2 linked regions of the Caenorhabditis elegans genome follow. The protein of the gene in region 2 interacts with the protein of the main gene of each other region in a pairwise test. Each region holds a gene or a part of one and is shown on either strand. Other genes may lie near its edges.

The links. The genes of interacting proteins can lie anywhere in the genome.
Region 1: the proteins of C05D10.4 (region 2) and abl-1 interact in binary tests that used the Caenorhabditis elegans proteins (3 or more experiments, as listed by UniProt).

Annotation. Positions count from the first base shown.
Region 1 is NC_003284.9:10,620,251-10,625,709, forward strand, and holds the start of abl-1 (Tyrosine-protein kinase abl-1), read right to left. Parts: upstream 3,940-5,459; 5' UTR 3,897-3,939; coding exon 3,895-3,896; intron 3,785-3,894; coding exon 3,729-3,784; intron 2,458-3,728; exon of another isoform or gene 2,333-2,457; intron 1-2,332. UniProt on the Caenorhabditis elegans protein: Functions downstream of migratory protein mig-13 and is involved in Q neuroblast migration during larval development.
Region 2 is NC_003281.10:6,098,817-6,105,297, forward strand, and holds the start of C05D10.4 (SAM domain-containing protein), read right to left. Parts: upstream 4,047-6,481; 5' UTR 3,926-4,046; coding exon 3,890-3,925; intron 2,615-3,889; exon of another isoform or gene 2,594-2,614; intron 1-2,593.

The DNA.
Region 1 (5,459 bases), on a different chromosome or scaffold from region 2:
AGAATGAGAGTCAGCATTACTTGACCCAAGTACTTTCTATAAGTAGCTTATTATACAGCACTGAGTATGTAAAAAAAGAAAAACGAGAAGGGAGGTAGGTTATGACTGAATATTTTTGACAGGAATATTATAAATGCTTTAGGTACGTAAGTTTTAAAAACTAGAATCAACTGAATATACCTTTTTTTACAGCATAATTTTTTTTCATTCATCGCCGAAAAAAACTTTTAGCCATTAGAGTAGCAACTAAGCTTTGAGGATAGGTGTTAACTGGAATAAAATTTCCTATTTTTCAAATTAGAATTTTCAACCTTCAAAACTTAATTTTGTATTCAGTAAAACTTCATGTGTTACCTGTCCCCTCAAAACTCAAAAACTTGATTGTATTGAAATATGCAGCTACAGGGTGGGCCATAATTATGCGCACTCGTATTTTTCTTTTTTTTTCATTTGTTTTGGAGGTTTTTCACTATTTGAAACAGTAATTTGATTTGTGATTAATTATTTCGAAGAGTTAAAATGTGATTTTAATGTGTTATCAAATATGGATATATTGTAAGTAACCAGTAGGATTCTTCGGATGATTTTTCAAAAATACATATTTGATATATACCGTATTTCTTCTATTAATATGGCCTCCCTATTAGACTTGCACTCCCTATTAGTATTGCTCCTTGAACACCCTCCGAAAATTAGTATTGCACTCCCTATTAGTGTTGCACTCCCTAATAGTATTGCGTCTACTTTTTTTTTGGTACAGACCCACCTCACTAATTTTGAGATTTTAACAACATTTTTTGCCTACTTTGCAACAATTTGTGGTAAAATTTTTATGAAATTGAAGTTATTGTACCTTTTTGTTGCAATTACAATCAAATTTTCACTTTCACACAAGGTTCGAGTTTTTTCAGAAAAAAAATCAGAAAGCTCAAAGTCAGAAAAATTTTCTGAAAATTAATATTGCACTCCCTAATAGTCTTGCACTCCCTATTAGTATTGCAAGCGGGAAGACCATCGAACAATAGTATTGCAGTCATATTAATAGAAGAAATACGGTATACAATTTTCAAAACTTCGAAACGAGGTTTATATTAGGTCTCCAAATAAGTTCCGGGTCAAAAATCATAACTTTGTTCGCTGTGTATCGATTTTTATGAAACTTTGGGAATTTATGTTATCAACCATGTTCTTTCATTTGACAATAGTCGCAAAAATTTTTGTACACCTCAAGTGTCCTAACTCGGAGCCAATTTTTCCAGGAATTTTTCCTATCTCGCTTCTTTTAACCTTTGAATTGAGGTTTGTGTGCGGATTTTGCTTTGCTTAAAATACATTATTAGAAAACGACAAAAGTTTAGAAAAAAATCCGTCCAAAAAATTTTTTTTAAATATATAATAATCGTTTTAGTTTGAAATTTGAATCTCGAGAAATATTCAAAAAACTCAAAAATTATCCGAAAAAATTATATTTTCTATTAACATTTTGGTGTATCGAAATAAATTGATATGTTTTGTATGTGTAAAAATAGTTCACGCTTGTTTACATCATTTTTGTAGGGAAAATCTAGAACTTTCGACAAAATTTTTTTTGAACATTTTTTGACGACCAACCAAAAAAAAATTTTTTGGACGGATTTTTTTCTAAAATTTTGTCGTTTTCTAATAATGTATTTTAAGCAAGGCGAAATCCGCACACAAACCTCAATTCAAAGGTCTTCTTTTAGAAGCGAGATAGGAAAAATGCCTGAAAAAATTGGCTCCGAGTTAGGACACTTGGGGTGGACAAAAAATTTTGTGACTGATGTCAAATGAAAGATCATTGTTGATAACATGAATTCCCAAAGTTTCATAAAAATCGATACACAGAGAACAAAGTTATGATTTTTGACCCGGAACTTATTTGGAGACCTAATAGATTTTTCACTTAAAAAATACATGTAAGAACTGTGATTTGATAAGCAAACACATACACAAATCCGGAACCGGAAGATTTTAAAATTAGTATTCTCTTTTCTATTTCATAAAACTTTTATAGTTTTGTGTTTAATCACGTTATGAAAAAGATCAATGATCTGAACTTCGTCAAATCTGATTTAGGATATATTTTGGTTGTTCAGCTCGGTTTGTCTGATGTAAATTATTTTTGAAAATTCTACTGAAACACCTAACTGATTTTATTTTTTCAGATAACAAAAAAAGCAGAGACAATGCCGTTTCTTCGAGAGTAACACAAAATTAGCAAAACTATTCAATATTGTCACATGCCGTGTCAATGTCTAGGGAATTGTAAAAATGGGTGTGGACTTGCGAACGTTTATATTCATTGTATACGCGTCGCACCAAATCCATCATAAAAATTGGATAGAAAGAATGAAGAACAGGAGGTTGGGTGTCCCCCGTGGTTCTCAGTCCCACACAGAAAGGAAAATGTGCCAGAGCACATTTTCTAATTGGTCAACGAGAAGAAGGGCGATTCGTCGTACTACTAACACAAGTCCAGCTGCTTCTCTGACCCAGGGAGAAAAAAGATGGGGGGAAATGGTAAATCTAGTTAAAACTGGAGTGAAGTGAATAAAATGCGAATAGTCAATAGGGGTCGAGCATTTATAACTGCGAATATGGCATTGAAACCTATTGAATTGGAATAACAAGTTGGAGAAGCGACGTTTTGCCGGGAGGCGGCAAAGCGGGAAAGGGGAGAGGAACTGGATTTATTCCATTTTTTTCTATTCTTCCAAACTTCCTTTCCCAAATAAATTATGCCTAAACCTTTTAAAAGTGTATAATTTTATAAATATTGTAGTTTGTAAAAAATTATGATCTAATTATTCTAGATGAGTAGAGAAGATACACTTGATTGGATAGTCTCCCATATTTGGATCACGCATGCGTTGTCCTCAAACTAGGGACCGGGAGTTGACGGACGAGGGAAGGGAGATGTGACCTCTTGGTTTGTCTGCGTCCCGTCTTCCACTCATGCTCTCTTTCAATCCACCATACCAGCTATTACTATCTCTACTCTCGTTTTCTTCCGCGTCTCGTTTACTTGTGACTTTAGAAGAGGATCTCTCACCCTCCCCACACCCTCTCCGGCATATATCTACAGCGAACGGGAATACGAAGGGAACCGAACACTTGGAGGATTAGAGAACCTAACCGCATAAAGCATTAAGAGCGGTTCTGAATCTGTCATCTACACTCGAAGGGCCTTATTGTGGGCAGACAATTTCGAATGAGATTGTGACAATTCATCGAAAAGTAGAAGGAACGTTAAAAACAATACATAAAACTTAACATACTGTTTTTCATGTTTTAACATGAACTTTTTTTTTTTGAGAAACTGAGAAATTACAAAATATTAGTTTTATAATACTTTACGTATAATTTATTTTACAATTTCGCCTTATTTTCTTTCAAAACTGAGAGCAGCTTCCTTTTTTTGAAAAATAGAAAAACAAAAGCTGATACTTCAGAAACAATCGTAAACTTTATCAGTACTTTTTTAATGAGTTTCAAACAATAATCATTTTTTTAGGAAAACTTTTGAATCAACAAATATTCATTAGTTTCGTCAAGTTAATATTTTTCAAGGCTGAATTTTTCCAAATGGTATGAAATTATACCATTCAATTTTTTTTTTGAAATCCAATGCCAAACTCAAATGTTGAAATTATATTTGTTTTTAGTTGAAAAGTAATTTTCACAATTTTCAAGCGCAAAATGCTTACCACATGTGAAGAGTTCATTGTCATTGATTTCTTTCCCAGTACTATGTGAATGACCCCTGAAAAACATTTTCTTCTTTATTAGTATATGTTGTTCGTAAAATTAAAATAAACAAAATACCATGGCCTTATAGTTTTTGAGAAGAATTATGAAATGAACTGAACTCACATTTTTGTTAAGTCCTACATGGGAGAATGTTTTGATGTTTTCAAAGTTAGAAAAGCCTGAAAATTATGAAGTTTGGCTTGAATTAAAAAAAAGAAATAAAAAGAAAAAATCGAAGAAGACAAAAAAAAAAGAACATGGAGGAAAAAAGAAAGGACGCGCAATTGGTGTGAAGGTATGTGTCGAGTACCCGGCTGCCCTCTCTTTTCTCATAACCCATCCAGTGACCAGCAGAGCGCGCTTGCATACTTCTCACTCGTTGTTCACTGCTTATTACTGCGCACTTGGTTCAACACTAACGCCTATTCGCTAGTCAAACAATAACAACAGTTCCTGTCAGATAAATAGTACTAAGCTAGAGGAGATTGGAAACGCGGAGTAGAGACTACAAATACTTTGAACTGATTGAACTTATATGCATACGAAATGAATGGATAATGTTTAAACTGGATATAATTAGTTTTTAGTTGTTTTACAAAATTGTGGTGATTTAATAATTAAAAAAAAGTTATGCTATTCGGATATTTGTGTATTCGCAAAAACCATAGTTTTAAACCAATTAACAAATTGTCAATTACAAATCTAAAATCTAACAATTATTGACAAGACCATACATATTAATAAACAAAAAAGTTTTGCATTGTAAAACCAATCAAAACTTGTCGCCGTTCCTTTTTCGCTATGTTTTATACAAATCTGCGATACGAATTCGTATCGGTTGAAAGTGTGGGGATGAAGTGTGAAATGAAACAAAAAGTGTGATCACAAAGAATGGGACGAGAGGCCAGGAGGTACTCAAAACCCCCGCCAATTTTGTCCCATAAAAATTGGAGCGACGAAAGAGTATGGGAATGCAGTTTGAAATAGAAAAGTTGAACAATAGGTAGTATTCAGATTGACGCATTTTTTAAATGGAAATCAAAACTAAAAGAATCAAAATTTTGAAGAAACAGTACGGTATGCCTCTGAGGGTTGGTTGAGTGAATTCTAACTCATTAGAAAATTGCTGTCCTACTATTTTGAAAACAATAAAAGGGCTCCTTAGACTAAAATATGCTGAAAAGTACCTATCAAGTTTTAAATAAGTTTAAAAATTTTTGGAGATTTGCATTGTTTCACGGACTATATAATTGTACATGAAGCACTAATTTTAAATTGTGTGTTTAAGAATAATTTGTTAATTGAGAACAAATTCCATACTTGAAACACTCAATAAGAACGCACTCTAATGCATACAATAATTCTTTAAAAAAACTCCCAAGTTTTAATAATTGCTGACGAAGATGTTTTGGAAAACGTGATCTCCAAGTAATGAATGCTTGGCAATTACAAATAACTTTTTGAAATCAAAAGATTATATGTGGTTGTATTTCTCCATAAAAAAGTGGAATTGTGTGTAGGGTTTTCAAAAGATGAAAATAGGTTTGTTGTTATAACATGCATATGTAATATGACTATGAAACTGTGCTATTTTGCTAGTGTTAGTGATTTTGATGGTGACAAAGTGTTCTATTTTCGATAATTTTTTTTATTTTTCGTCTTTTCTCCTCGTTTAATTGTTGGAAATT
Region 2 (6,481 bases):
TATAATTAGATTCTCATGATTTTGTACGTTATTCATGATTAATGGTTTACTTTTCTAAAAACAAAAAACATGTTTGCAAGATATATGATTTAGATTCTGAATTTAGAAACTAAATATTTTAGAAAATTTCTGCATAAAATTTCAAAATAATAAAAATTCAAAAAAAATTGATTGATCTGATCTACCGCATCAAAGCTTTTAATTGAGATTTTGTCAAACCTTAATTCCGGTATTGCTTTGCTTTTCGGAACCAAATAAAAAGTGAAATGACGGGAAGCAACAAAGTTTGATTGACATTTTGATCATGATTTTGCAGGAAAAAAACTTTTTTAAGAAATGAAAAGCGGAAAAATGTTTGGGAAGCCGGGAAACTAATGAGCGTCTTGTAGGCAGGAACATAGGCAGGCAGTTATACATTCAAAATAATTTTTACTTGAAATAATGAAAGATAGGTACTTAGATGAAGCAGAATATGTAGCCTAAAAACCAACATATCTACAACTTTTCTCCCCTTCTCTTCAATTTCCTTTTTTTGTACGTTTAGGTATTTAATTCGGAAGATTTATCGTTTCGGACATACACAACAAAACTGCTGGGAATCATCCGGTGAATGCTGTTGCCTCGGGTTTTGATTGTGAGAAACTGTGCGTGTGTTTTCGTTAGCCGATTCGTATTGGTCTTTATCAATAATAAAGAATATCAGTTTTGATCTACGAGAACAAAGAGGTCGAAAATGTTGCAAAATTCAGAAGAACGTATGAAGAGTTTAGATAAGGTTCAAATATTAAAGTGAATAGAATGGATTGCAAAGTGAATTTTTGGGGGTTCTGATAATTTTTCCACTAAAACAAAAATTGTATAATTTGGCACCTACATATATGTGTAAATATAGCAGACGTAACTCTATAATTGTAAGTTAACAATAAAAAGTAAAATAAACTTCCGGTGGTCATCAAGCTGTAAGTAGCCATGAGACATTAATGATTATCTATGTAAATTGGGCGTTTTGGTTTTAGAAGTTGTGTGTGGGGTATGTCATAAATCATGCGTAGATGATGAGATCTTTTCGGGTAAGCATCCAAAAGGTGGACGAACGGAAGAAGGTGAACTGGGAAGCAAAAATGATAGGGTTATTAGCCGATACTATCAATGGGAGAAATCAGAGAGGAAGCTACACAAAAACAGGGAAAGAAGGAGGAGGAAGATGAAAAAACACTGGATTGGAATTCATGAGAAAAGGAAATGATAAGCATTTTTTTGGAAGAACACATTTTGGATAAGTTGCAATCGAGGGGAGATGTAAAAACTATATCGACGAAGAATTTCAAATATTTCTAGGTTAAATTCTCAGCTGGTTCAAAATTAATAATTGGTCTTCTTTTCGAAAAACCAAAGAATTACAGAAAGCAATTTAAAATTGAAAGCATTCAAAATTTGCACAAATAGACGAATGTTATTGAAGAGACGTTTGATGGTTCATATCTTATTTCTACCTAGTACTAGAAAAACATTGTCAAATGTAGAAAAGAAGTGAACATATTTGGGAAACTAACACTTTTCCCGTCACATTCGTGAGCACTGGTATCTGTGATATTAAACGTATTGCAACGAGAACAATGCGTACAAGAAATGCCAAAAAACGGTCTCCAAAGAAAAAGTGCAAATCAAGATCATTCAAGTTGAAAGAATAAGCCTAACACATCTTGAGATAGTTGTTCAAACCTCCTTCTTTCATTCTGAATCAATGTTCTCGTCGTCTTTCAGGATAATTCAATAGGGGAACAAGATGATCCACACGCAGCCATAAGGTCGTCAATCGGAGGAGAGAGGCCATTTTCAACACAAAAAAAAAACGCTTCATCGTTCCTTTGTGATAATTGGAATAGTGATGGAGGTAGGAGGAGGAGGAGAAAGTTCGAAAAGAAAACGACACCGGATATTTGATATATCTTTTACGATTCTGATGATGATGACTCGCGAGGAAAGTGATTCTCGAGAACAAAAAAAGCATTTAGCAAAATAATTTCCGATATGTTTTTAATTTATGCACAAACAATTCACTAAGCGTTCAAAATGTTCAAATATTATTCATATATGTATATAGGCTCTTATCAAAAATATCCAACTTAGATAAACTATCAAAAACCAAGTGATGTTAGAATGTCTTGATTAAAAAATAAAAAAATCTATAAACGCAAACAATTGGGAGTTGGGTGAGAAAAAATGACGCGATAAAGTTCATATGACATCTGGATATCTTGTACAAACAGAATTTTCTGTAACATCGGATAGGGTCAATAATATGATATCATTGAAGTTTTGAGTACGTTCTCTATTAGAAAAGAAAATTGAATTTTAAAAATTCTCCTTTTGTCATTCTCTGTAACCTTCAGACAAATCGTCTTGTTAAAATTTTATTGTCTTTAATTTCAAAGCGGCAAAATTTTTTTGACATTATCCAAAACTGATTCAAGCCAAAAAAGCCAAAGCCAAAAAAAACTATTTCGCAAGCTGCCAGTAAACAAATTGTTTCAGACAATTAGCAACGGTTTCACTTCACTAATTTGATGATTCAATCTTAATCTGCTAGGAATCTAAAATGAAGAGAAAACGGAGGAAAAAGAAGATCTAGTAGTCTGGTACCAGTTTGTCAGATTCTAAGCACAGCCGTCAATTATGAGAAACTGTGGATAAAAACAGATGATACAGAGCTCACAGAGAAATTTTTTATAAAAAAATTTAAAAAGAAGGCATCCTTTTTTGAGAATGTCACCGCTTTGATCAAAATAATGAATTTTCAAAAAAATAGGGGCTTCTTGAAAAAAAAGGAGAAAAAAGGAAAAATGTTTTGATAACACCCCGAGAAATATCAAAACTGCGACTTTCTCTGCGTGCTCTCTATATGTCTCTTGCATTCTATGACTACATCATCTTGCGACTATTTAAATATAATTAATCTTTTGAAAAAGTCAATAAACTGAGTGTTTCTACACACACGATCTTTAAAGTTTTAAGTTTAAAAATACGTTTTTTTAAAGAAGTTATAATTTTTTAATTTTCCCTAAAAAACCTAAGACGTTTACCCACACCAACCTGATTATCCTATCGAAATCCGATATGAATTTTCAAGTGGAGTTCATAGTCTGCATGCACACAAAGACAGTTGAAAAAGTATGCTTCAACAGGTGCCAAAAGTCATTGCCGGGTCGGCTCCCACAGCGGCAACAAGAAAAGATACCGCTTGCGGGAAAACCAGTTTTTTGGTGTGAAGAATTGAAAATGAACATACTACTGTCAAATGAGAGTGCGCGGGAAAGCAAGAATATAGAAAAAGAGCACATATTATTGTGTAAATAAACATGAAAAAGTTGCAAAAAGAAGAGAAAAAGCTGGGGGGAAAGGTTGAACATTTGTTGAAAAAATCGTATGCCGACATAGTCAGTTTTACCAAAAAATTAAACCCATCAATAACTTTTTTTTGCTTCACTTTTTCGGTATATTTTAAACTTTTTCTAGAACAGTTTAAACTTCAACTGCCACATCGAGCAATTATAATACTAATATTTGGTCAATACTGAACGTGGACGTGAACGTGAACGTGGGGTTTGAAACCGCTTTACAAGACGGAGTATTGAATTTTTCAAAACATTCTCGAATAAAAAAAACATAATAACCTTACAGGCGAAAAGTTCCAGAAATGTTAGATTTTTTCCAAAAATTACAGTAATGGGAAATATCTAACTTTTTAAAAGTTTACAGTTCTGACAATATTAATCTAATTATTTTTTTATTTTAAAAAGTGTAGTTAACAAATGCCTTACAAAATTTTGGTTATATATCCAGTAAATACAGAAGATAACCAGTATTTAAAATTTTTTTAAAAACTCACATAATCCGGTGGTGGCTCATATGGTCTTGCCGTCATCCTTGACGAATGCCTTGATTGTGGTTTGTCAATTGAAGTCGCTATTTTTGCAATTTAAAATTATCAAGTGATAAAACTTGATAATTCAAAAATAAATATGTTTGATTTTTGTATTGGCTACCTGGAACTTTCTGATTTAAAAAAATGGTAAAGGAGGAAGTTTTAGTAAAAGAATGACAAAGGTGAGAGAAAAACTTTTCGTTTTTATTTTTGATGAGAAACGGATGTGACAGAAATTGGATTAAGAATGAAAGTGGGGGATACAAGTATTTTGAATTTTGAAAATAAATTTTCAATAAATTTGATAGAGCAATTATTGGCTAAAAATAAAACAAGAAAGGATCATTTTCAAAAATATCTAGAGCGCAAAACTTTAAGGAACAATGAAAAATTAACCCTTTATCAACTTTTTGGTCACAGAAAACTCATTCATTTTGCATCGAAATTGACCAAACGGAAAAAAGACAGAAACTGGAGCAAATTAATCCATAATGCTCACACTCATAAGCAATCGAAATTGAAAATCGGACAGAAATTTCAAGCGTATTTTCTTCCGACACAACACACTCTTCTCAATAGACACTTGAGCAACAGCTCGCGTTGAACCATTTCCGATCAAAAAGATGACGTGGCAACACAAAGTCTTCCGAATTTTTTGGATGGTGTCTGTGTGTTTTATTTGCCGAAAAGGTGTGGAAACTATACTATTGAAGGAAGTGTTGAGAGTGGATTGATGGAAGGAAATTGATGGAAATAATGGACAAAAACAAGAAAAAATAAATATTTTTGGAAAAAAAAACTGACAACCCAATAGAGCAGAAGAGTTAATGGACCAGAGATGAGCACAAATATTTATAGAACAATTTTGTAAATATAGTTGTTAAAAGAAACTATACTAAACATCGTGAACATGAGATGGTGGCAGGAAAACACATATTTCTTTGAATTCAGATATTTTAATAGTTGAAAAGTTTTGGATTTGTCTGAAACCATCAAAAACAGTAGTCCCAATATGGGAATATGTAGCACTCCATCAAGTCCTAAAATTCAAAAAAGTTGCAATGTACAAAAATAGAGAGGTGTTTTTGAATATGAGAAGCATAGGAAGCTTGAGGGTCTGTTGAATTTAAAAGCTTTCACATTATCCAAAATTTTAACTACTTTTAACTGCCAACTTAGAATTTCAAAACCAAAAAATCCACATATCATACTAAAATTCCAATGTATACAACACATTTTACTCCTTCTACATTCCCCCATGGTAAAGATCATTTATAAACTAAAAATCAACATTTACCTCCTTCTCAAAGTCGTATGGTAAACACGGTGGTATACATAGTATCGATAAAAAAGATCTTAACAGGTTTTTAACAACTATTTTCAAAAAAAAATTTCAAAGGAAGGAAGAAGAAGAAGCAACATAAAAACCGTGGCCTAATTACAACGATCAGTGATAATAAACAAAGGTGATAAAAACCGTAGAGGGACATAAATTATCTACAGACCACCACATGGTTAACATTTGGTTTCGATTTTCAACGGAAAGTGAAAACTTTCAAACAAAATCTTCAACAGAGAAAAAAACTAAAGGCTCTAGTCCTCATCCGTACTAAGACTTGTCTTTGAAGAAGAACTTTCTATTCATTTAAACCCTATAATCGACACCTCATATGACCTTTTATGATGAAAGAATATAATAAATGGCCATCCGTCCGGAAGGAGGTATATTGACACAGACACACAGTACTACTAAAATCCATGAAGAAAGATATCATCATGTGTATACACTTCTAGAAAGAAGACGAAAGGTAGGAAGTACTCTACACAAACACCTTTTTTACAAGCCAAGCACACCACAATAATAATAACTGTTCGTGAAGAGGAGGAGACAGTGTCTACAATTACGCAACAAGATGAAGCCGAACGTAAAGAAAAGAAATAGGAAAAGTGAGAGATTTCAGAGAATATGCCTAAGATCGTCTGATTTTTTGGTATATATTCAGAAACCCTGCAAAATTACACTTTTCTTAATATGCAGACTTGTCTGAGTAGCTCACGACTGCCTATTTTCTCAACTTTTACATGATTCCTAAGTGTCTCGATTAATACTTTCAATAAAATAGTGAGAGATTACAAAAGCGAAATTATTTCATTTCAAGCGTGTTTGCGAAGTTCCAGATTTTCAGATACTTCTGGCATTCTAGAACTAGCTGCCACGTTTCTAATAACCCCAACCTCTTGAAGCATCCACTTCCAAAAACTGAAATACAAGACAAGTAGTAGTTGGTATGCCGAGAGGAGAGAAATACATACAATACCGTTCTTTTTTCGGAAAAAAAAAGAAAATTATATGGGAAGAGTTGAAAGAGATACTTACTGTCTGCGTGGGGTCATGAATGGCAATTAGGAACGACGGTGGCAGCAACAAGAAGTGAAAAAACGGTAAGAGAAGACGGGAAAGGTAGAGAAGAAAAAAGAGTATTTGTGTGTAGGTGGAGGTAGTTGTCAGTTCGTCTCAAGAGTTTACATAATTTGAGGTACAGAACAACGAGGAGG